4 linked regions of the Drosophila melanogaster genome follow. The protein of the gene in region 3 interacts with the protein of the main gene of each other region in a pairwise test. Each region holds a gene or a part of one and is shown on either strand. Other genes may lie near its edges. The genes, in order: Indy, CG5103, CG14204 and aust.

Region 1 (5,831 bases), on a different chromosome or scaffold from region 3:
TCCATATAAGTATAATGACTTAAGCATCAGGAATATCTTCTTCACCGTTTACGCTTTAATGAGTTAAGGCCCATGTAAGCTGGGTAATTGAAGTGAAACTTTCTCGATGGCGAGGGACATGCACTCGCTGGGTGAAAGTGGGCATGAGGTCCAGAATCCACTGGAACCACTCGACAAGTCGTCAAGTCAATCTCGGCGTGAAACTCGTTTGCCTGTTCAAGTTTTAGTTGCTTACATCAAGTGCAAAAGATATGAATGTGACAAGTGGTTGCCACTGTCATCGTCATCGATTGCTGGCATGGAATGGACTTGAAGCTTTTCCTGTGCATGCCGCGTGTAAATGTTCTATCATCTGCATTTGGCATGCTCCACATATGGGTTTTCCACTAAAAACTGATAAAAATAAGCGTGGCCTGTTAAGATAGTGGTTGAGATACTTAGACGTTCTTTAATCATCGCGGGTGGTGAAATAAATTCTATTTTTAGAATTCCAACTTCAAATTCAAATAGGTGTTGTCAAGGACTGAACATGCAATGTACTAGGAAAATAGATTGTTACGAAAGTAACACTGACTAAAAAAAATATATAATATTTCGCTTAGATACAATTATAACAGAATTAGAGAAAAAAACAGTTTTACCACGGCGGATTTGTAGGCTTCTATGACATAGAAATAATTGCAGACCAACACACTTTGTAAAAATCAATACGAACAAATTTCAAAGTCGCATAGGAAATGGCCATAAATTGTTGATTGGATCGATTCAATTGAGAACGAGGACGATTCGGTTAGGGAACCTACGTGCATCGAACATTCGGGAATCAATACGACAACTTTAAGAAACTTGCCAGAACAAATTTCACTCATATTAAATTTCGCCAGAGAGGAGATAATTGTATCAGATTTATTTCAGAGGCGCCGTGCTTGACAACACATTATTTTCTTTGATCTTGCTGTTTAAGCAAGAAAATGCTATATGAATCATAAATGTATCTTATGTGTGTAGAAACATATGTGGAAAGTTTTTTTTTCGCAGCAAGTTGATCAAGTGAGATCATTTTATTGCATTGAGCTGTAATTTAATTGAACCGAACGGAAGGCGACAATGAAATGCAACGAATAAATTAGTGTACACGAAGTTAAGTAAAATATATGTACATATGTATGTAGAAGAAACCGACCCACTAAATGTGTGCTAACAACATACATACTTAAATCGTAAGAAATGTACTGCAAATAAGGTAAATACCCTTTATTATTGGTAAGCAGTGTTCTTGAACAACTCGCACTACATTTTATTGAAACAGTTGTTAGTTATTTGTAATTACTGGCAATTAACTTACAAAAGGGCTAAGTTATTCAAGTGCTTTGTTGTGAAAATTCCCTACCTGCTATTATTAAGACCATCGTAAGAATTCAGGATTTCAAGCCGTTTCCAATCGACTTCGATCAGCAATTTGTTGGCCACTCAAACGAGAAGCGTGCAAGTTGAAGTTGAAACATTAAACAGATCTTCTCTAGAGGCTCTCACTTAGGAAACCCCCTGTGCTCGAAAAGCAAAACCAGTTTAGCACCGGTCAATAAATTTCAGCTCAAGATTTTTGCAACTTGTTTTTTTGTTCGCCAAACAAAACAAACCGAAAACCAAGGCTCAGAGATTGAGTTTGACCCACATTTAATCACTTTGAAACACAATTAAATAAATAATATAGAATAGTCGGAATATCAAATAAGAATCATATTCATTGGTCCCATTAGGTAATGCCGCAAAATAAATCCCCATGCTAAGTTCAGACACATTTTGCGCGTATTATACGAAAGAATATATCGAAATAAACATTTCAGATCTGCGTCTGCAATTGTTTTTCCTTTTGCGTCATTCCATGTCACGTGTGGGGGCGGGGCCCACAAAAAAAGATGTATTTTCTTCAAGGTAATATGGAGATTATAAGCCAAAATGTGAGTAAACATTTGTTCGAGAGCCAAAGTGCTAGGCGATTCTAAAAATATACGTAAAGTACTTTGAATTCTAATGCAGACATTCATCTGCTTTTGGAATTTGAACTTCAAATGCATAGTACTCAAATGATCGTTGGACTCTCTGTTTTGAAAAATGGGGTGACATTTGTGAAACAAAACGCATAATGAATTTATCAGCTTTATCTAGTTCCATTTCATTCATTACTGAAACAGGGTTTTACTATTTTACGCTGGGTCTATTAATCAGATAGAGGTGCCAACAATAAATAGTGAATAACAATAATTATAATATCTATAAATCTACAACGAAATTCCTCGCCTGATCATTTCAAGCAGCTTCTGTCTAAATATTCTCTGCACTTTCTAGGTTCCATAAAGTCTGTTTGCAATCCTCGCGCTTCTGGAAATTCCAGAATCAACGTTATCACACGTTTATAACTCTGCTCTTCAATAAAAAGACGAATTGTGACGGATTCTTAAAAAAGTTAAGCGCTTTTAAGCCTTTCCACTAATTGCCTTGAGAAACCTGGGGCATGCTAATTATTTTGCTGAATCTGAATAATTTTGTACATATTGTTATCTTTCGGTGTCGTCATTCAGTTTTTCGGTCAGGTGGTTGTCCACACACGAGAGAGATAATGCATACATATAATACATATAATACATATGGGGAGAATGTGGGGGAAGAAAGCGGTGTCACTTCCGAAGATTTGCACAAAAGTGCGCTGCTTCAGTTAGATAACAGATGGGGAAATGGAGATATCATACCAGCAGAATAATAAAAAACTGGTCATGGGTTGTTAAGTGGGTGTGTAAACAGTATGACGACACTTTATAGATTGAGCACTCAAACAAGCTGCTCAATAAGAGAGCAAAATGATTGGAAGTGTTTTTATATAAGTACTTATTTTCTAGGGAGTGGAATATATCTCCAAAGTCGGGAACAGAAGCACTTCGGCTAAGGAGCACAATAGCAGCACATGTGATCTCAAAATCATTTTAAAATTGATAAAACACTTGGTTTTGGACTTTGTTTACATAACACTCTCTTACCTAACCCGATTGCCACGCGCTACTCAAACTCGAAACCAGGTTTTCAGTCGGATCTTAACAGTTCGTCGCGAAAAGTCCTAGGGGCTTGCCGGGCATTAAGGCAGGTTCTCAAGGTCAACGAAAAGCAATTAACCGGAAAAGACGAAATGCCGCCACGTTCCCAAATTTCTAGCTGCAAACCACTTATCACTAATCACCTGCCTAATCACAAGTAATTACCGCTTTCTCAAAATCAAACTTACCATTTTTGTAGTTTCGGTCGCCATGGTTGGGGATCTATATGGTATAGATACTATTGGTATATCTGAAGAATTGATCACGCCGTTTCTCTTTCAGCACAACCGTAAGCGATTATTTCATAATTTCCACCACCGCGCCGAAAAATAACATATATATATATATATATTCGTTGGCTAGACCACTTTTTATGAATATGTTGCTTTGCGTTCGACGACTAATATGCGAATGCTACCAAAACTCAAAACCAAACCCAAACGATTTTCTTTCGCATTCTCCTCTCTCTCTCTCTCTCACTCGCTCTCTCTCTCTTTTAAGCCCTGGACATGGAAAATATCTGATAAGTTGTCGTTGTCTCTGTGGGCAAATACAAATACTTTAATACGCTAAGAGACACATTTAAACTTGTTTTTGCTGTGCATGCTTCTTTGTAGGGGCGTATTTACTATATTCTACACAGGTATATCTACATATCGTTCGTACACTTAAAGTATTTTTTACCTAGTTGACCTTTATGGTAAATTAAAATATTCGGAAGGGTTACTTTAATATTTTTATATAAATATTTTTAAAAGTGCTCTTTATTTAAGCCATGTTAATACTTTGATACTTTGTAATTTTAACAGGCAGTCAAAAACCCTTTTCAAACAATTTTTGGTATACTCCGCATGTAATTGAAATTTATTTTACGTTTGTCAAATGTAGAACAACGCGATATATACATACTCTGGCCTTGAAATTTAATTAAATGTTGTTTGAATATGCTTTGTAGTTCCTATAGTCTCTTTGACTCACCGTGCAAATTGCTAATGCATTTTTCGAGACCGGTGTAACTTGGCATTTCATTAATTTAGGATTATGTTGTCGATACAGACTGTTCTATTTAGCATAAGTCAGCGACTCATGCCCATGTTGATGAATTTTAATATGTGAGTATGAAAAGCCTTTTCCAAAGACTCAAAACGGAACACTCAGCTGGCAAAGGGTGTATGTTGATGTTCCTTCAGCGTTTTGTGGTTGTCTGAAATTAAATTTCTTTTTATATCAAAGTGCAAAAATAGCTTAAAAAGTCGATCTTACCTGTCATTTTCACTGATGAGAAGTGGGTTCCGGTGATCTGCCAGGACCAGGAGATATACTGAGTCTGGCTATAAAATATATGATATAATTCAAAACGACCCCAGCATTACTCCGTATGGAAGTTAAAGAATGCAGTTTTAAGTAACGAAAAATAGCCACCACACATTTAGAAATGTTTTGATTTATTTTATATTGTTATCTTTATTGCCACTATGTTTCTATATTTCCAACGAATTTTAAATGTCTTATATTATAGGAACTCGAGCTCCTCTAGTTTTGAATGTCTGTCTTACTTTTCCTTTTTTCACTCCTCTCTTCAGGATTTGAATAAATTATGATGGTCTTCCTAATAAAAATCCATAAGTTGAAAAATTTTAATGTTTTCAAATATAAAGAATACAAACTGACTTTAAAGAAGATACAGTCTTATTGAAAAAAAATTAAGTTGCCTTACTTTTCTCTTGCTCTTACTTTCTCACTTCTCTGATCACTTCCGATCGAAATTTTCGATGGCATAAAGCGTGTTTATGCTAGATATTTTTTTTGCACGCCGTGGTACCTGAAGAAATACATTCTGAGTGCATGAATCATGTGTCTAAACTCAAATCTTTACCTAAACTATCACTGTTAATTTGTGATTAATTCTTGGCAGAATCAGGATCAATTGTAATGGGGAAAACGAAATCTTTCATTTTTTTCCGCATTCCTAGTCTGATGCCAGTGCAACTAAAACTTCTGCGATCTGAGATCTCGACGTTCATACGGACAGGCGGACATGGGTAGATCGACTCGGCTATTGATCCTGATCAGGAATATATATACTTTATATAGTGCGAAACGCTTCCTTCTGCCTGTTACATACTTTTTAAATCTAGTATAATGAGCTCCGATTCTTCCAGCCAATCTACAGCGAATGCTGTGTCTGCAATATTGACCCCGATTTCCTACATTTCCTAATACCCTGCATCCTAAACGATTTCATCGCCCTTCAGTCCCCTTAGATCCAGCAACACGAATTCAAAACTTATAGACATCTTAAAAACCCCCACATCCAAATTTCTGAAAAAAGCCAATATAATCCATTTACTGTAAACAATTTTTCGTAATCCCCAATTATTAATCCCTTTAAATATATTGTAAATAATTGTAAGTAATGTTGTAACCTAATACTTAAATATTAAATAGTAAATATTAAAGGCTGGCTGAAAACCCCAACAGCTATAGCGTATCTTTACATTAACTATCATGAATCATAACTTTAAAACTTTTGTCTACAGTGTACAAATAAATAAAAAAATATAAAAATTTTAGCTAATACCTTTACGAAAATTTTTAATATTTAAGTACTTTTAGTCACTTTATTGCGTATTTTCGCCGAATTCGCTCTCTTTCTTTTTCGCTCGCAAAATCAGTTCGCCTCGCTTAAATTCGCCAGCACGTTTTTACTTACGTGTAATTTGACATGAACCCGAGCATTGT
Region 2 (5,467 bases), on a different chromosome or scaffold from region 3:
AACGGGAGTGATTCGACCACGAGATACCCTTGTTTTTTTACAAAATATTTTTGTTTCATTATTAATATAAGGCTCCTATTATATATACTTGTATTTATCTTTTAGTTATACATATATAAACAGAAAAAGTTGTCAGTTAAGCTTATAACTAGAGGAACATATATTAAATAAATTTTTTTATAGTTTTGTAATTAATTTTAAAATTTCTCCTGTTCCTTAGGGGTAATTCCCTGTTCAAATAGTGTCAACTATTTGCCTGATAATACAGTCAAACCGTATCGAAAACTAAATCAACAATAGGAAGAGGAGGCTATCGATTGGATGCGCCCCTGCGAAAAGGTCACTGCAAATAAATATGTCAAAATCGAAAAGTACCGCCAACGCAGTAAATGATCCTCTGTGTTAAGTTCCTGAAATTAATTCCGCCCAATTGATTTTTGGCAAATGCAATTTTTCTTTGAACTTCAGTAGCATGTAGTGCATTTCACGTTGCACGGTTATTAGTTCAGGTAGAGCGATATATAATACCGCAGCTGAAGAGCACGTATCAATGAAAAAGGGACAGGTCACATTTAAAAAAGGGTTGATTTCTTATTAAGGGAATATTTGATTTATTAAGAAGTGGAGTGGTTCATATTTCGGTCCAAAAACAAAGTACTTTGAATACAATAAAGATCATTTAATTCTCATAAAAAAATAAATACAGGTGACTAAAATGTCCAACAATGCGATAATAGTTTTTTTTATTAACTTCTTGCTAATTTTTTATTCAATTTGCATGATAACCAAAATATAAATATAGTTACAGTTATAATTTGTGTTGAGAGAGATATTTAAAAGTTTTGATTACGGAAAGTACTTGAAATTATAAAGTTACACTTCTTAATTTTTTCGATTTTTTCGAACATTCTGCTCACTTCTTCATGATGGCCAGGCTTGCTTTGTATATATTTCTGGAGGAGACCCCAAACATGTCCAGCAGAACAGCAGGAGGGCCTGATCTCGGTACAGTGGTAATATAGAGATGCTTGACCACAAAGTTTCGATAGTCGGCCAGAGCACTGAGGACCGCCTCGCCCAATCCGCCTTGCTGGTAATGATCCTCCACCACGACGATTCTTCCACGACACAGCTTTCCATGCTTCACGATTAGTCCGACATCGAGGGGCTTCACTGTAAAGGGGTCGATCACTCGTGCCGTAATGCAATCCTCCTCCAATCTCTCCGCTGCGGCCAGGCACTCGTACAATGTGACGCCGGCTCCAATCAGGAGCACTTCATCCGAGGGCTTCTGGCGCACCACTTTGCCCAGTCCCACGGCAAACACCTCGTCATTGTTGTAGATCACCGTTGTGCTCGGATACGTTGTGCGGATGTAGCACACGCCCTTAGTATTGGCAGCCAGTTCCACCGCCCTCTCCGTGCTAACTGCGTCCGTGGGATAGAAGACCGTGCTCCCGGGAATGCTCCTGAACATGGCCATGTCCTCCAGTCCCATTTGGGAGGGACCATCCTCGCCGATGCTGCAGCCACAGTGGGAGCCCGCAAAGTTAACATTCGTGTGCGAAATTGCGCCCATGCGGATCTGATCAAAGGCCCGTGTGAAAAAGGTCGCATACGTCGAAACGAAGGCCACAGTGCGACGTCGACAGGTGGCTCCCACGGCCACGCCCACCAGATTCTGCTGTGCGGTGAAGCACTCGATGAAACGCTCTGGAAATGCATTCCTCATCTTGTCCGCATACGTCGAGTTCTTTGTATCGCCATCAAGGGCAATTACCCGAGGATTATCAGCCGCGATTTTGGCCAAGGCGGTTCCGTAGGCTAAGCGTGGGGCTACCGAATCTCCCAGCCGATAATTGGGCGGACTGCACAGCATTATATTGTTAATATGCACCTCGGGGGCGTGGCCGCACTTTCCCACCTTTTTGGGTGTCAGGCGGACGTTGGGATTTGCGATTTTCATCTGAGGAAACACATGATACCATTAACCATACCGTTAATGCAATTAATTGGTCTTTCAATCATACCTGCAAATGCTTGATTGCAGATTCGGCCCTCTTACCCAGTGGCTGTGCATGCATTTCTTCGATTCCTTCGATGCCCAGAAAGTCCTTTCCCTTAGTCGTCCTGGCTAAAAGAGCCGTGGGCTTACCCTTGGTGCTGGCCGCATTAATGAAGGCCTTGGCCAGCTCATCAATATCGTGGCCATTTAAGACTAGGGCATTGAACCCGAAGGCGTCCAACCTCTCCCGATAAACCTCCATTTCAGTGCCTATGTCCGAGCAGAAGATCTTGTTCATATCGAAGATTACGCACAGGTTGTCCAGGCAGTAGTGGCCGGCAAAGTGGAGCGATTCCCAGACTGCTCCTTCGGTAGCCTCGCCATCGCCCACGATCACATATGTACGATAGTCGGCCTTGTCCAGGTGTTTGCCCACATAGGCCATTCCAGCGGCCACTGAGATGCCCTGTCCCAGGGATCCGGTGCTCACATCGACGAAACTCAGCCGTGGAGTGGGATGACCCTCTAGATCACTGTCCACCTTGCGCAAATTTCGCAGCTCCTCCACCGGGAAGAGTCCAGCCTCCGCCCAAACGGCGTACAGAATGGGTGCAGCGTGTCCCTTGGACAGAACCAATCGATCGCTGGAAGGATCGCGAGGATGCTTCAGATTTAGGCGCATCTGCTGAAAGAACAGCACCGTCATTATCTCGGCCAACGAGGCACAGGACGTCGGATGTCCCGACTTGGCCGCCTGTGTCGAGGTGATCGAGTGGATCCGCAGCTTTTGGGCCACGTCCTTCAGGTTCTGAACGACCTTACTGTCCAGCTTAGCGTTCGACATTTTCACAACCAAATTTTGATTAATTTTGAGAAACTAATCAAAGACAGACTGTTGTGCTGTAATTTTTACCACATTTCAAATTTCCCTTCGATTGGCGTAAAAATTATATAATGTATTTATATAAGTTATAAGTTTTATTTTAACAAATTGGTAGAAGAATTTTGAAATGTTTAGTCCTTTTTTCTTCCAATTCCCACGTGTAAAATGCATGGATGGCTTTTTGATTTGATTTTGTTTTTTTTTAGTAATTGTACATTTTCAGCAAATTGAAAGCATCAAAACAGCATTCCCACACGAATCACTCAAACATCCAAGTAAGGTCATTACAAATCAAAAGTCGTAAATATTTTGACGGCAGAAACTCAAAACAGTAAAAAGTTTCATTCAGTGAAGGTTATATAAAAAAATGCAGTGTGAATTTACGGTGAAAAATTGCAGTTCTCACAGCGAGAAAACGCATAAGTAAACATAGAGTGCAGGACCAACCCTCTGGACCGATAAATGCCCATCAATGAGCCAAGAGGTGCAGTTTTGAAAACAGTTTAAATTTGATTTGGGTGCGAATCGGAATTGCACGAGGGTTGCATTGGATTCTAACCCTTTCCCCGGATCATCGAAGCGTTCCGTCTGTCCGAGCGCTAAATAAATCATTTCTCTTCGATTAATTCGCTTGCTGACATGTGCACACTCACATGTCCCGACTGAAGGGTTTACTTTGAATTTAAAAAAAAAGGGGTTTACACATGGTTTCGGCTAAGCGACCGCTACTCATGTCAAATTTTGGCTTTTGCTCTCCTTTGTAGTGGCATGGAAAATTGTCCATGGCCGTGCAGTCATAAGTTATAAATTAGTTAAGTTTCTTTCGAGCACTTTAAAGTCAGCCGGAGGGTTGCTTAAAAAAAGGGGTTCCCTCCACACCACACCCTTTCCCTTTTCCACGTCATTGAGTTTGCTTCCTTATGTGTGTTTTTCAAAATTTTTAAGTGCATTGATTAATTTTTATTTTGATCGGTCCGAAATCAATATTGTTTGCAAATTTCCAGTAAATACCCAACCGAAGACACGGGCCCAGCAGTTGGTGTGTGTAATTTGTCGTCATTCGCAACGCCCAGCGATATTTCCCTGATGTTTGCCACTTAGCAAAGGGTTCAGTATCCATTGCTAATGTTTCGAGTATGAATTCAAGCGAATTTATGTAGTGGAAGTGCTTTAAGAGAGTTTCACCAGATGATAACCGTGGGAAATGGGGATTATAGCATTGACATCTGATTTGGAGATTTCAAGGGGCCTAATCAAAAATGCTATTAAAATAAGTGAGTAATTTATAAGAAAAATTTAAAGATGATATACAATATATTTCCTGATCAAGGCTCTGGAACACTTCGCTGAACCCTCCGCTTCGGTAGGCACATACATCGTTTTCAAAGAAGAAGCCTCTGAGGACTGCGAACCCTCCTTCTGGCTCCTTCTGGCTGCTCAGAATCCTCCTTCATCAAGATCTCGTTGTTTCCAGTAGCAAACCCAATACGCGTTCGTCTTTTCTGCCATTTCTGAATTCAGTTGAGCTATGGAGCGGGTTTCTCAGGCAAGTGAAGAAGCTCAACAGGTGCCAAGTAACCGAAAAACTACCTTAAAAATCCAAAAACGCAAAACATTTCAAGAATAATAAAATTCTTTCAAAAATAACCTGTACAATTTAATTTAAGTAACAGCACAAAAACCACCAAAATGTATTAACCATTGTATATAAATATAGATTTTAAGCTCACGTTATAAACTATACTTTCATCTCAAATAAGTAAAAAACAATATATTTTAGACTTAAGTCTTTTATATAATGGTAAACATTTTTGCCTGGTAATAGTGAAGTATCACATTTTATACGATTTATTTTAGGACTGATAAACAATTCAATTAACGATTGACTGCCATTCCCAATCGAGGATGTGAAGAGCATGAAAAATCGCATTCGGATTCGGAATAAATTTTCCCAGGCTAAGCAGGCACACTCGACTTTAATAGGACATTTGACTAAGTGGAAGCGATTGACCTATGTCCAAGCTCATTTATTGATTCCGTCCATTTGCATAGGATAGGACCTATCTAGGCTTCCCCTCCCTTTGATCTGATTGCGACGCGTGTCCTGTTCGGCGATGCAAATTGGTCACACCCTTCAGATGTCAAAAGAAATATCGACGGATAGACGACAAATCGATTTGCATGGCAGGGCAGTAATAATGAATTTTGCCCAGGGTGACATAATTGTGCGAGGACCAGCTTGACCAGCCTGCGTTCCATCATAACTCATAATAATGAAGTGCAAATGCCTATGTATGTGCGCTACCCTGGGTATAATCGGCTTTCAATTCTGAACAAAAGGACTCGGCCTCAGAAGTCACGTGCCTGCTGTTTAATCCGTGTCCTCTACTTTCCTTTCTTTTCCACGAGTGAAAGTCCTGCCGGCGAATTTGTTACGCTTTGATTTCTCCTTTTTTTTTCGACGTGATCCCTTTTCGCCCTTTTATTGTCTTGTCTGGACATTTGGTCGCTACCTACTTGAAGTAGAAGTCGTGCCCTTGATTAAATTATATGTGTTTATCCCCGGGCTAGAAGTGAGT
Region 3 (6,904 bases):
TGCGGCCCAGGATCGGCTGAGATCAGCGCCAGGAGCAGGCCCACCAACAGCAGGGCCATCAACTGCAGACGTAACATCCTCATCCTGACGGATCAAAGAGTATGTGTGTACCGCTCGAAAGGCCGTTCCAATCAGAACTGGCGCTGGTCAGCGCTGGAGTCGCCTGCCTGTACTCCAACGGAGTGGTGCCACGCGGGCCTGGGCGTCGCGGATTAAGTGCCCCCCCAAAGTCAACTAGTTAGACGGGTTAGCTGCGACCGTCCGCCTGGATCTCGTAATCGCAGACCCCGCCGACTGCCGGCGGTTATCAACGAGTTCAGTGCGTGGCAACAATTACTTTTGCACTACTTTTGCGCCAGTTTATAGATCGTAAGTGCAGCTCGAACTATGCATAATGCTTAGCGGCGAGTGCATTTTAAGAGGCTAAACAACACGCACCGTGGGACTAGAACTCCATATACCCACCTATATATATACCATACATACACATAGCATATACCATATAGTAGAGCTGCCTCCAACATAAGGGATTGATATACACAAGGGAACTAACTATCTGCAAGCTCATTAAGTATCTATACTATTTAGATTGTTCTGTGTCGAGTACGAATCTACATGTTTTAAAACCCTAACAAAATATCAATAATTCACAGATAAGTTTCCCATAAGATAGGGAAATCATTCATAGATTGCTTGTTTTATAATTGTAAACTCAAGTGGTTATATACCATATACAAACGTATGTATGTACATACTACCAATTTCACTTGAACTTGTGTCAAATCTCATTCCTCAAAACAGTTCAAATGTTCAACAATGAAGATTATCTGAATATTATAGGTGTATTCGATTGGGAAAGATTTTACGAACAGTGGGCGCTTACTAATTCGTTGACTAATTCGTCAAGTTTGTACCACTGTGCCGAAAAAGAGGGGCTGTCACGATTTGCTCTCATAATAATATGAATTTCAATTTCGGTTTGGCTGCGGCTGTTGCATTTGATTTTCAAGATATATTTAATCATTTCCAGAGTAATTAACAGCTTTTGGTTTTTCAAGCATTGGCGCAACTGGACAATGGTTAGCAACTCTCGTTTGCAATTCGCATTCGCATCGGAATTGGGTGAAAAACCAGTTTAGACCTTCGATTTTCCGAAAGTTTTGACCAAAGTTTTGACACTTGCTGCCTGAGTTCTGCATGTAAATTAGATTTTGACTGCTGTACCGGTTGTTCAGGTCTTTTCAAATAGGCAACTATGCATAATCTAATTTAAGTCATAGTTACTTATATACATATATAAAAGTACCATTCAAAACACTAACTTTCGCGTTGGCAATGCTGGGTATCTGATAGTCGGTTCGGTTGCATTTGGCGTTCCTTCTCGCTGTAACCTTGATGTATTGCTGTTGCATAACCAAAAAATGCGAATCTGGTCCAAAATTCATACGAAAACCAGTCGGTGCCACACCCCTCCACTTTTGGCTGGGAACCTAGACGAAAGTGAAAACTCGTTCGAATTTCCATTTTCCAGCAAAAGCTGGGAAAACCTGGAAAACACAGGATATCGAGAAATAAGTATTGCATGTCAAAATCAAAAACTGGACAAATCTCTGTCCCGAAAAATGTCGGAATTGCAGACACAAAAAAAAAAAAAAACGACAGACAACTGAGCAACAATTTGCTGAACATTTCGTTTGAATACCATTAGTCATGTTGTATGGAAAGCCAAATCGCCTTTTAATCAGCAGCTAAGTTAAGTTAAGTATTCTCGGGAAATTCGACAAGGTAGAGATGCTACCGAAACAGCCAAATCCAGCGGCTTATCTTTCCGGGTATTCATCCGAATCGCAATAGTATTAGCCACGTTAAGAGTTCGCTGCCCTGATTACCAAGGGTAGCTATGCCTCCGATTATTGGTAACTATTCTATTGTCGGAGGCGCAGATAATGAGATAATGAATTCTCGATTTCGAATGGGAAATGCACAGCAGGATTTGCCTGTGTATAAATGGGCCAGGGAAGGGTGATTCGCTAAACAGTCGTAAACTAGGAGCTCCAGGCGAAAGATGATCAAGCTATTGGCTATATTGCTTGCCATGGGAATGGCGATGGTCCAAGGAGCGCTGCCGACCCAACTATCAAATAATCAATGGACACAACACGATGTGTCCTCCATGGCGGATTACGAACGGCTCCTGGATCTGCGCTCCCTGGCAATGGAGTTCTATCGCGAATTTCGGAACATTTCAACGGCGGATGTGCATCTTCTGGGTGAGCGGATTGGATCACAAGATCTACAGTGCCTGGCCGATATGGCCCAGTTTATGAGTGCGCTTAGTGCGCCCAAGGCGTGGGCCCTAAAAAGTGGGTATTACAACATCTTCAACTTTGATGCCATTTGAGTTTATCCCTTCTATGCGAAGTGCTCGACGCGTGGGGCACCATTCCATCGGGATATCTCATTGGCAACCGCGTCGACATGGGCAACTACAGGGAGTGCCTGTCCGAGGGCGGAATGCTCACCTCATCGCAGGACATCCAGGGAAAGTACTGCTTCATGGAGCTGCCGGTTGCCAAGTGGTTGGGTTTCACTTCTGAGCTGCTGGCGGTGACCAACATAAGGACTGCTGTGTGCCTGCCTTCCTCTTGCTCGGCGGGCACCATGGAGCTGTTCCTCAAGCAACTGCTCAAGCGGCTGCTTGGCGTCAGTGATCCGACCAATTTGTTTTCCATCAGCGAGACGTCGTGCAGAATCAAGGAGAAAGCACCCTGGGATGGGCTCACCATATTCACAGTGTGAGTAGTGTCTTGATACATCCTAGCTGATCTATCCATACTAACTGACTACCATCAGCGTTCTACTGTCCGTATTTGGTGTCACGGTTATCCTGTGCACCCTCTACGACTACTTCTTGTGTCCGGAGCAGGGTAAGTAGCTGACATAAATCGGATAACAGCCTATATGTATGTATATGTACCATATATCCATGTCTACCCGCAGAAAAGCTACCCCGTCCCATCGGCGCCTTCTCAGCCCGTGCCACTTCGCGTTCGCTGTTCACCATTGTGGAGAACACGGCGAATCCGAATGTAATCCACTGTCTCAATGGCATGCGGTGCATGTCCCTGATCTGGGTAATCTTGAGCCATGAGTACATTATCAACATGAAGGGTCCCGCCATCAATCCAGCGGACAACCTGCGATGGGCGACGCAACTCTTCTCGAGCTTCATACTCTACGGTACCTTGTCGGTGGACACGTTCTTCTTCATCAGCGGCTTGCTGCTGGTTTCAATTGGCCTGCGAAGCATAGAAAAGTGAGTCAACTTGTACAGGGATTAATCCGATCTGTAGGCAGGCTAACATTCTCAATGGCTCCAGAAACAAGGGAAAGCTAAATGTGCCGCTGATGTATCTGCACCGATATCTGCGCCTCACTCCGATCGTAGCCGTTGCCATACTGGCATTCTACAAGATGATACCCCTCATCGCAGACGGCCCAATGTACGATGATATCGGCTTTTTCGACTACTCCGGGTGCAAGATGACCTGGTACTGGACTCTGCTCTACGTGCAGAACTACGCAACATCCGATGTGGTGAGTTGAATGTCCAAGTTGATCAGGAGAGGTGGACAAGCCCATCTAGTCCGTCCGTATCAGGATGGATCTGTATCAACCTTATATACCTTAGAAGTTACAATAATTAAAAGTGTTTAGTGGCTTTACTGCGAATAGGAGATCACTTCGATAGATGGCGCCTGCAGCACTAGAATTGATCGTTGGCGCCATCTATGTAAGTTCGGTGGTACCATTGCCATTGCAGTTGGAGCTCTTGACTATATCTGTATATTTATCTATCTAATTATTTGATTGTTGGTTGCTCCTTAGTGCGTGCCGCATACCTGGTACTTGGCGGTGGACATGCAACTGTACATCCTGTCCCCGATCCTGCTGATCGCCCTCTACAAGTGGGGCAAGAAGGCGGCCGGAGGTATCCTGGTGGTCACTTTGTTGCTCTCCGCCTGCCTGTTTGCCACCATAATGGTGAATGACTTCCCTGTGATGTTCAAGTAAGCCAGTCGCGCCCGCCGTTTTGTGTCCCCCAATGCTAATTGCAATTACTAACAGGAATGGAATTCAGGCTCAGGTGGTTCAGAGGAAGATCTACACCGCTACGCATACCCATGCGGCGCCCTGGTTGGTCGGTACTATGTTCGGTTATCTCCTGCACCTGATGCGCGGCCGAAGATTCAAGTTAAGCCTCCTGGCTACCTGGGCAGGCTGGCTGCTCTGCCTGGCCCCGCTCTTCACCTCGATCTTCGCCTTGTATCCGTACTCCAAGCTGCTGGGCAAATCGCCCTCAGTGTTGCAGGGAGCCCTCTACTATACACTGGTCCGGATCGCCTGGCCCCTCGGTCTCTGCTGGGTGGTCTTTGCGTGCATGCAGGGCTATGGTAGTCTGGCCAACAGCTTCCTCTCCTCTCCACTTTGGCAGCCGTTGTCCAAGCTCTCCTACGGCGCCTACATCTGGCACATCTTTGTCGTGGAAGTCGCCAATAGAAGCGTTCAGACCAATACGTACTTCTCCAACTATCAAGTGGTAAGTGTGTGGCAGGCAGGGTCACTCGACATTCCTATTGGACTTGAACGCTTCATTTCCAACTCCATAGATGCTCAACTTTTGGTCCACCTTTGGCTTTACCCTGCTGATGTCCTACGTGCTCTACGTTTTAATTGAGGCGCCTCTGGAGGCCTTGGAAAGAATTATGTTTCCCAATCGCAGAAGCCCGCCAGCAGCAAAGGATCAGCTGCATATCGAGTCCCGAACGGAAGTCGTGGACCAGATGGACCAGATGGATCACATGGACGGGATGGATCAGGTGGTGCAGCACGAGAAGCGCAGTGATATCCAGCCTGACCTGGAAACGAGTGCCAACAAAACAGAGACTGACCTCGAGTTATCAAATTAGACTTATCAGCTCCTATTTAGCCTTTATTAAAACGAACTACTTGTAATCTAGGCACAATTAACTTAACCACGGGTCTAGAGTTACGATGGAATGAATGGTCCTTGAGTTGAAAAGTCTTGCACTTAAGACGATATCAGTCGTTATCTGGTTGCGACTTTTGCGACCAGGTGGGTTTCGAATTAGTCATGAAGGTGATTCCCGACTTTGGCTTGCTGTAATGGGCACACAAAGATTTCAATTCTGACTCACAGAGGCGATGCACGCCCCATTCAGTTACAGAAAAAAAGAAAAGAAACACAAAAAAAAAACAGAAGGAACGACTTTGTCTAGTGTCTCGACTATCAGATATGTATGCACCAAAGCGTTTACAAGTTTTTCAGTTTGATAAGAGCCAAATCTGTTGATAATTTACATTCCATAGATTACGTATTTGTATTTGTATACTTGACTTCCCCACTTTGCTGACCATGTGTCTTGACTTTCATCTGCGTAGTGACGAAATGCTATGTTTATAGTCAGGAAATTGGAGAATTTGCTCTGATAAAACGATAAAATCAATCGATTGACAAACCAATCGAAACGTATTTATTAACATTTTAAACTTGTATTTTGGATGCTTAAAGTGGGCGGGGCCAACATGTTGTGGGCAGATCGACAGAAATGGGCAAGCCAAATAATAAAAGTAGGCGTATCTGCGTTCATATGGATGGACATGGAAGTATCGACTCGTCCAGTGATTCTGATCAAGAATATCGGAATCGCTTACCGTACAATGAATTTCGAACACAGTTTTAATACTTTACGTAACGCATGAAATCATATATTTTAAATGTAATTATACTAAAACGTTGCTCTTTTCGGGAGCAGCCTGAATAACTTCGTCGGGTATCGTGGATATCGCTTCCGCAGGCTTACCTACTGGAGATTCTTCGACTGATGCCTTCACCTCCGACATCCTGGGCTCCACCACCGCGGCCGGCTTGGCATTTGGCCTCTTTGCGGGCAGCAAAAGGCTTTCCAGACCGGCGAATGGCGCTTCGATTAGGATATGCATGAGGTACGAGAACAGAATCGTAAAGCCAAAGTCCGTCCAGAATCGAAGCATCTGGAGATAGGGGGATTCTTAGAATGGTCAACTCCGCGTACAAGGGAACATGGTACCTACCACTTGATAGTCACTAAAGTAGGTACTTGTGTGCGTGATTCCACCGTTCAAGCTCTCGATGAACATGTGAAAGATGTAGGCGGAATAGGATAGCCTGGACAGCGGCTGCCACAGGGGAGAGGATAGCAAGCTGTTGGCCAGTCCTCCGTAACCGTGCATGCAGGCGAAAACCACCCAGCAGAGACCAAGGGGCCAGGCGATCCTGGTTAGGCTTACGTAGAAGGCCTCCTCCACAATGGGCAACGTGTTCTGACCATAGATCGAAAACAGGCAGCTGGCTATCAGTGACAACGCAATCAGCCATCCCAGGAGGACAGCCAGGCGGTTCAGCTTGAAATCCTTGCCCCGGTTGGTATGAAGAAAGTAGCCGAACAGTATGCCAATCAGGTAGGGAGAAGCACGAGTCTGTGTGGCATAGTAGAGCTTCCTCATCGAATCACCGCCGCTTCCTCTGCAAATAAGAGAATTGTTCTGAATATCTTACATATAAGTATCCCTAACATCCACTTACAGCGATAAATCATTGATGACCATGATGCTAAAAAGACAGCCGGCCAGCAGGAGCATCAGAACAAAGATTCCGGCAGCCGCCTTCTTGCCCCACTTGTACAGGCAGATCAGGAGGAATGGTGCAAAGATGTACAGCTGCATGTCCACCGCCAGGTACCAGGAATGACTTAGGCACTGCGAGAAACCGTGGGTGATATAAGGTGATACAAAATGTCGTCATCGAAGGACCCTACCAGGCTATCAGTCGCATAGTTCTGCA
Region 4 (4,193 bases), on a different chromosome or scaffold from region 3:
TTAACAAATGGGTAGTTGGAATTCCCCTTTCAAAAATAAAGATATAAAAAAAATCGATCTCTATGTTGTAGGGAACTAGTTCATTGAGATTAGTTGCAGAACTCATTGGAATTATTCAAAACTCATTATTCAAAATATAGATAAATAAATATAGAAGATATATACTTAAATGTGTTATTTTGGAGTGACTTCAGTTAAGTTCGAATTATTTAATTGAATTTACCGCGCATTAGTGTTACCATTTTACACTTACACCATCAAAATATTTCTAGTATTTTCAATCGGTCGTGAACTGGGCAATGAAAAGCCATCTGGCAACACTGTTCCATGACGCTTGAATTTTAGCGGACAAACTCGAAAAGAAATAGCAAAAAGACGACGCTTGCTACGAAAATAGTTATTCCTCGCAAAAACCCTGTAACGTGTAAACAAAGGCCGCTGCCACGATGCCGCGCACCAAGATACCAAAGAACTCCAAACGCAACCGCGAGGTGGCCAATCGCGAAGAGAAGGTGCGCCTGTACGAGCTGAAAATGGATTCCCGCCTTATCAGCATCGATTCGCTGGAGACCAAGTTCCTCTCCGCCGTGGACCACCAGGTGAAGACACTGCTCGGCCAGGTGCAGAAGGAGCTGGCCAATCTGAAGATGCCCGAAGTGCTGCGCCTCTTCGAGGAACTGGACCGCTTCAGCGACTTCAAGGCCAGCGATCAGACGCAGCTGCTCGCCTCGATGTCCATGAGTGGCAGCGCCATCGAGGGCCACGCCCCCTCCGCCACTGGAAGTCGCAATGACGAAGGTTTGTTGGCCTATATATGTATGCTGTTATACCAATCTGCTGGCAAGGATGTCATCACCCGAATTACAAATGAATACCGGTTTTACATGCCAAATTGGCAAATTCCATTGTATATTCGGTATTCATCATACCCTCTTGTTGCCATTTTCACTTTTAATTTTAATCTAACTGGTGTCCGGCTTTGTGACTAACTCAACTTTGCTTTCTAACTCCGCACCGCACATTTCAATGCACGCAAAATGCATATACCCACATCCACATCCTGTGCCGGTCACTGTATCTAGGCTACCTTACAGAGGACAGCAGCATCGGTGCCAGCGGTGGGAGCATCCTGGCCGCCCACACAGGCTCCCTGCTGCGGTCCACGAAGGCCATGCGCACACCCGGACCACTGCACTCGGCGAGGGCTCGTCGAGCGCGGCGCAGTCGTTCCGCCTGCGGGGATCTCAACATATTGCACTCGGCCAAACCGCCGTCAATTTCGAGCAGCAGCAGCAGCAGCCGCAATTCGCGCAGCAAACTGCGCACACCGATGGCCTCGCGTGCGAAGGCCTTCAGTGCCGACCGCACTCCTTTGAAACAGAAGCAAATGCGCTCCGGATCGCCAACTACACCGCCGATGGCATTCCTGCGCTATCCCAAGCCCGGCGAGGTGGCACTATCCAAATACGGCAGTCCCATGGTGGCTCAAGTGTAAGTATTGATCACATACTACGTGTCGATACCAATTTGTTAAAACCATTTTTCCCACACGATAGAATGCCAGACAAGTTCGCCAATGTGAACATACCCATTCGGAACGGAGTTCTTAGCTTGCGGCCCAAAAAACTGGATGCCGACGAGGTGGAGTCAAATCTGTTGGAGAACCTGGACGAGGACACCCTTAACCAGATCAAAACGCTGCACGAGAACTTGCAGATGATTGTTAATAAGGCCAGCCAGGCGGTGTTCAAGTAGCTGTCATTTCAAACGCTTATCTAGATATAATGCTATATCATATATTTTAATACGTTTCGTTTAAGTTCAGTTTTCATTTTACTCATTTAGTTCAAGTATTTTGTCTTTATTCATAAAAATCTATCGTATTTGCATAAGTTTCAATACATGTTCATATCCAAGTGTACGGCGATTTAAATGTAATGTTTTAAATACATGCTTAATCCAAAAAAAAAAAAATGAAGCGTTCCATGATGATTACTCGCCTTCAAGCAAAACGACGGAGAATCGAAAGAGATGAGAAAGTGAGAATCCAATTTAATTCTGCAATGGATAAAGTCGATGAGATGGCCAAGTTGTTCAAGCAGGATGTGGACAACAAATTGGGTTTGCTTCAAGCCAGGACTGATGCTCGTTTGCTGCAGATGAAATGGTCGGATTTCATGGCTCTAGCAAAAACTGCTACCTTCAAATAACATCTTTCTTTTGCTAATTGCAAAAGAGGCAACCGCTTTTAAGTTCCCAGATTTCAGAAAGTGGCCAATAAAATTATGTTATGTTAAAAATGTTTAAAATGTATTTTCGCACGTTGATATGAATACAGTTTTGAATCGCTTGTTCACCAAAGAGCCCTTTGACTTTGTTAGAATTAGGCGATTAGTTGACTGGAATATATAAATCGTTAGAAATATGCCTCGCACCAAGATTACAGCTCGTCGTCAGGCCCAGCGCCAGAAGGCTGATCGCGAAGAGAAAGTGCGCCTGTCCCAAATCAAAATGGATTCGGCTCTGGAGAAGATCGATGAGATGAGCAAGCGCTACAAGCAAGAGGTGGACAACCAAATTAAGGTGATCCGTGGTAGGACTGATAAGCAGCTACTGCAAATGAAGATGCCAGAATTCTTGGCTCTCGGGTTTAAGACTTTTGCCGAATTTCAGAGGGCAGGTGAGATTTAATTTAACTGTCGGCAATAGAAGAGTAATTGTTATTTTTGTTTTACTTTCTTTCCAGCTATTAAGCCGCCCACAACTCGCAGTTTGTCCATCAGTCGTGGTCGAACACGAACTCCGCAGAATGCCCTGCCACCGAGGCTTCAGGCGCATTCGGTGGACAGGGCTCTGAGTGGCGACACCATGAGCTTTGTGCGATGGCCCCGCGCCGGAGAGATGGTGCTCTCGAAGGCGGGAAGCCCGCTGGCCGTCCAGATGCGTCCGGATCGCTATGCGGACGTCCACATTCCCACCAGGGGCGGCGTGATCACCGTGAAACCGCACAAGATCAACACCGTGAAGCGGGAAGTACTGATGCAGCTGGATGAGAACACACTCAACCAGGTGAAGACACTGAATGCCAATCTCGGATTAATTGTGGACATGGCCAACAAACTGGGCAAATTGAAACCGTAATTGCTAGCTATCATAGGAAACTTTAAGAACGCGTCTATTACGCTTATTTCGTTAATATTTTATTTAGTCTTTTTCATTTTCTCATTTTCAATGTTTTTGTTCAGTTGTTAAACATTAAGTGAACGTGTCTGTTGTTCTTGTTGCTGTTTGCTGCTTTTTGCTTGCTTCTTGTTGTATAATTAATTAATAAATTTAATTAATTGTATGTATATATATATATATATATATATCGATTTGTAAGTACAAACATAGCGTACAGAATACCGTCTCCACTAACATTAAATTTAATTGTTTAAACATTTTTCTATTGTGTTGCATGTGTGTGTTTTGTGTGTCTGTGGGTGAACATTCTCAATTATGCTTGTAAGTATAGTACTTAGTTAAATTAAAGTGTATTGTGTTTTCATTGAAATGAAATTCAAGTGAAACTTTACTTGGTTTCCTAACTTTTCAACTTCACTTTCAGTTGTGTGATTCCTTAGACAAACGTTACATTTACACATATACAGATTTAGTTATTAAAAATTATCATTAATTTTTAGTGTGTATAGTGTTAAATTTAGCATTTGTTTCTTAGGTTTCCCATTTGAGTGTGAAATGTGAGTGGGAGTGGGGCGTGTCGTACGCGTTTATATAGTTACAGATACATAAAAATACAATACATAGCAAAAGGTACATATATAGAGACTTAAAATACGCTTGTTTTCACTGAATTATTCAATACGATTTTTAGAGACAAAGACAACATATACATATTTGGACAATCAATTGATACGTGTAAACAGTGACAGATGACAACAACATAACATTCAGATTTGTAACATTCATTATGTTTGTGTGGATAGGGTTTGAGAGTTTTCGCAAAACGATTTCAAAGAATTAAACATACGGGTACTGACTCAAAACCAGCAATAAACGAGTATAATCTAATCAAAATACTCACGATAATCTTAAAACAACTTGCCGTTTTTCTTCAGTACAGTCTTCCCTCCAAATCACGTATTTTAGCATACCCAAATTACCGATTATGTGTGTTTATCTAAGCGCTAAAT

The links.
Region 1: the proteins of CG14204 (region 3) and Indy interact in a two-hybrid assay, tested with the Drosophila melanogaster proteins (one large-scale study listed by BioGRID).
Region 2: the proteins of CG14204 (region 3) and CG5103 interact in a two-hybrid assay, tested with the Drosophila melanogaster proteins (one large-scale study listed by BioGRID).
Region 4: the proteins of CG14204 (region 3) and aust interact in a two-hybrid assay, tested with the Drosophila melanogaster proteins (one large-scale study listed by BioGRID).

The regions. Positions count from the first base shown.
Region 1 is NT_037436.4:18,842,759-18,848,589, forward strand, and holds the start of Indy (I'm not dead yet), read right to left. Parts: upstream 3,510-5,831; 5' UTR 3,302-3,509; coding exon 3,278-3,301; intron 29-3,277; exon of another isoform or gene 1-28. UniProt on the Drosophila melanogaster protein: Cation-independent electroneutral transporter (not associated with membrane depolarization) of a variety of tricarboxylic and dicarboxylic acid-cycle intermediates. There is also small, but detectable, transport of monocarboxylics.
Region 2 is NT_037436.4:18,291,380-18,296,846, forward strand, and holds CG5103 (uncharacterized protein), read right to left. Parts: upstream 2,884-5,467; 5' UTR 2,850-2,883; coding exon 2,031-2,849; intron 1,967-2,030; coding exon 914-1,966; 3' UTR 746-913; downstream 1-745.
Region 3 is NC_004354.4:19,581,577-19,588,480, forward strand, and holds CG14204 (uncharacterized protein), read left to right. Parts: upstream 1-2,040; 5' UTR 2,041-2,065; coding exon 2,066-2,363; intron 2,364-2,422; coding exon 2,423-2,795; intron 2,796-2,853; coding exon 2,854-2,927; intron 2,928-3,000; coding exon 3,001-3,316; intron 3,317-3,380; coding exon 3,381-3,597; intron 3,598-3,888; coding exon 3,889-4,070; intron 4,071-4,128; coding exon 4,129-4,600; intron 4,601-4,670; coding exon 4,671-4,970; 3' UTR 4,971-5,481; downstream 5,482-6,904. Other genes in the region: CG14218 (uncharacterized protein), read right to left, coding at 1-83; CG14219 (uncharacterized protein), read right to left, coding at 5,806-6,075, 6,136-6,586, 6,647-6,819, 6,879-6,904.
Region 4 is NT_033779.5:9,249,240-9,253,432, reverse strand, and holds aust (australin), read left to right. Parts: upstream 1-2,390; 5' UTR 2,391-2,424; coding exon 2,425-2,680; intron 2,681-2,746; coding exon 2,747-3,141; 3' UTR 3,142-3,385; downstream 3,386-4,193. Other genes in the region: borr (borealin-related), read left to right, coding at 447-798, 1,083-1,491, 1,557-1,755.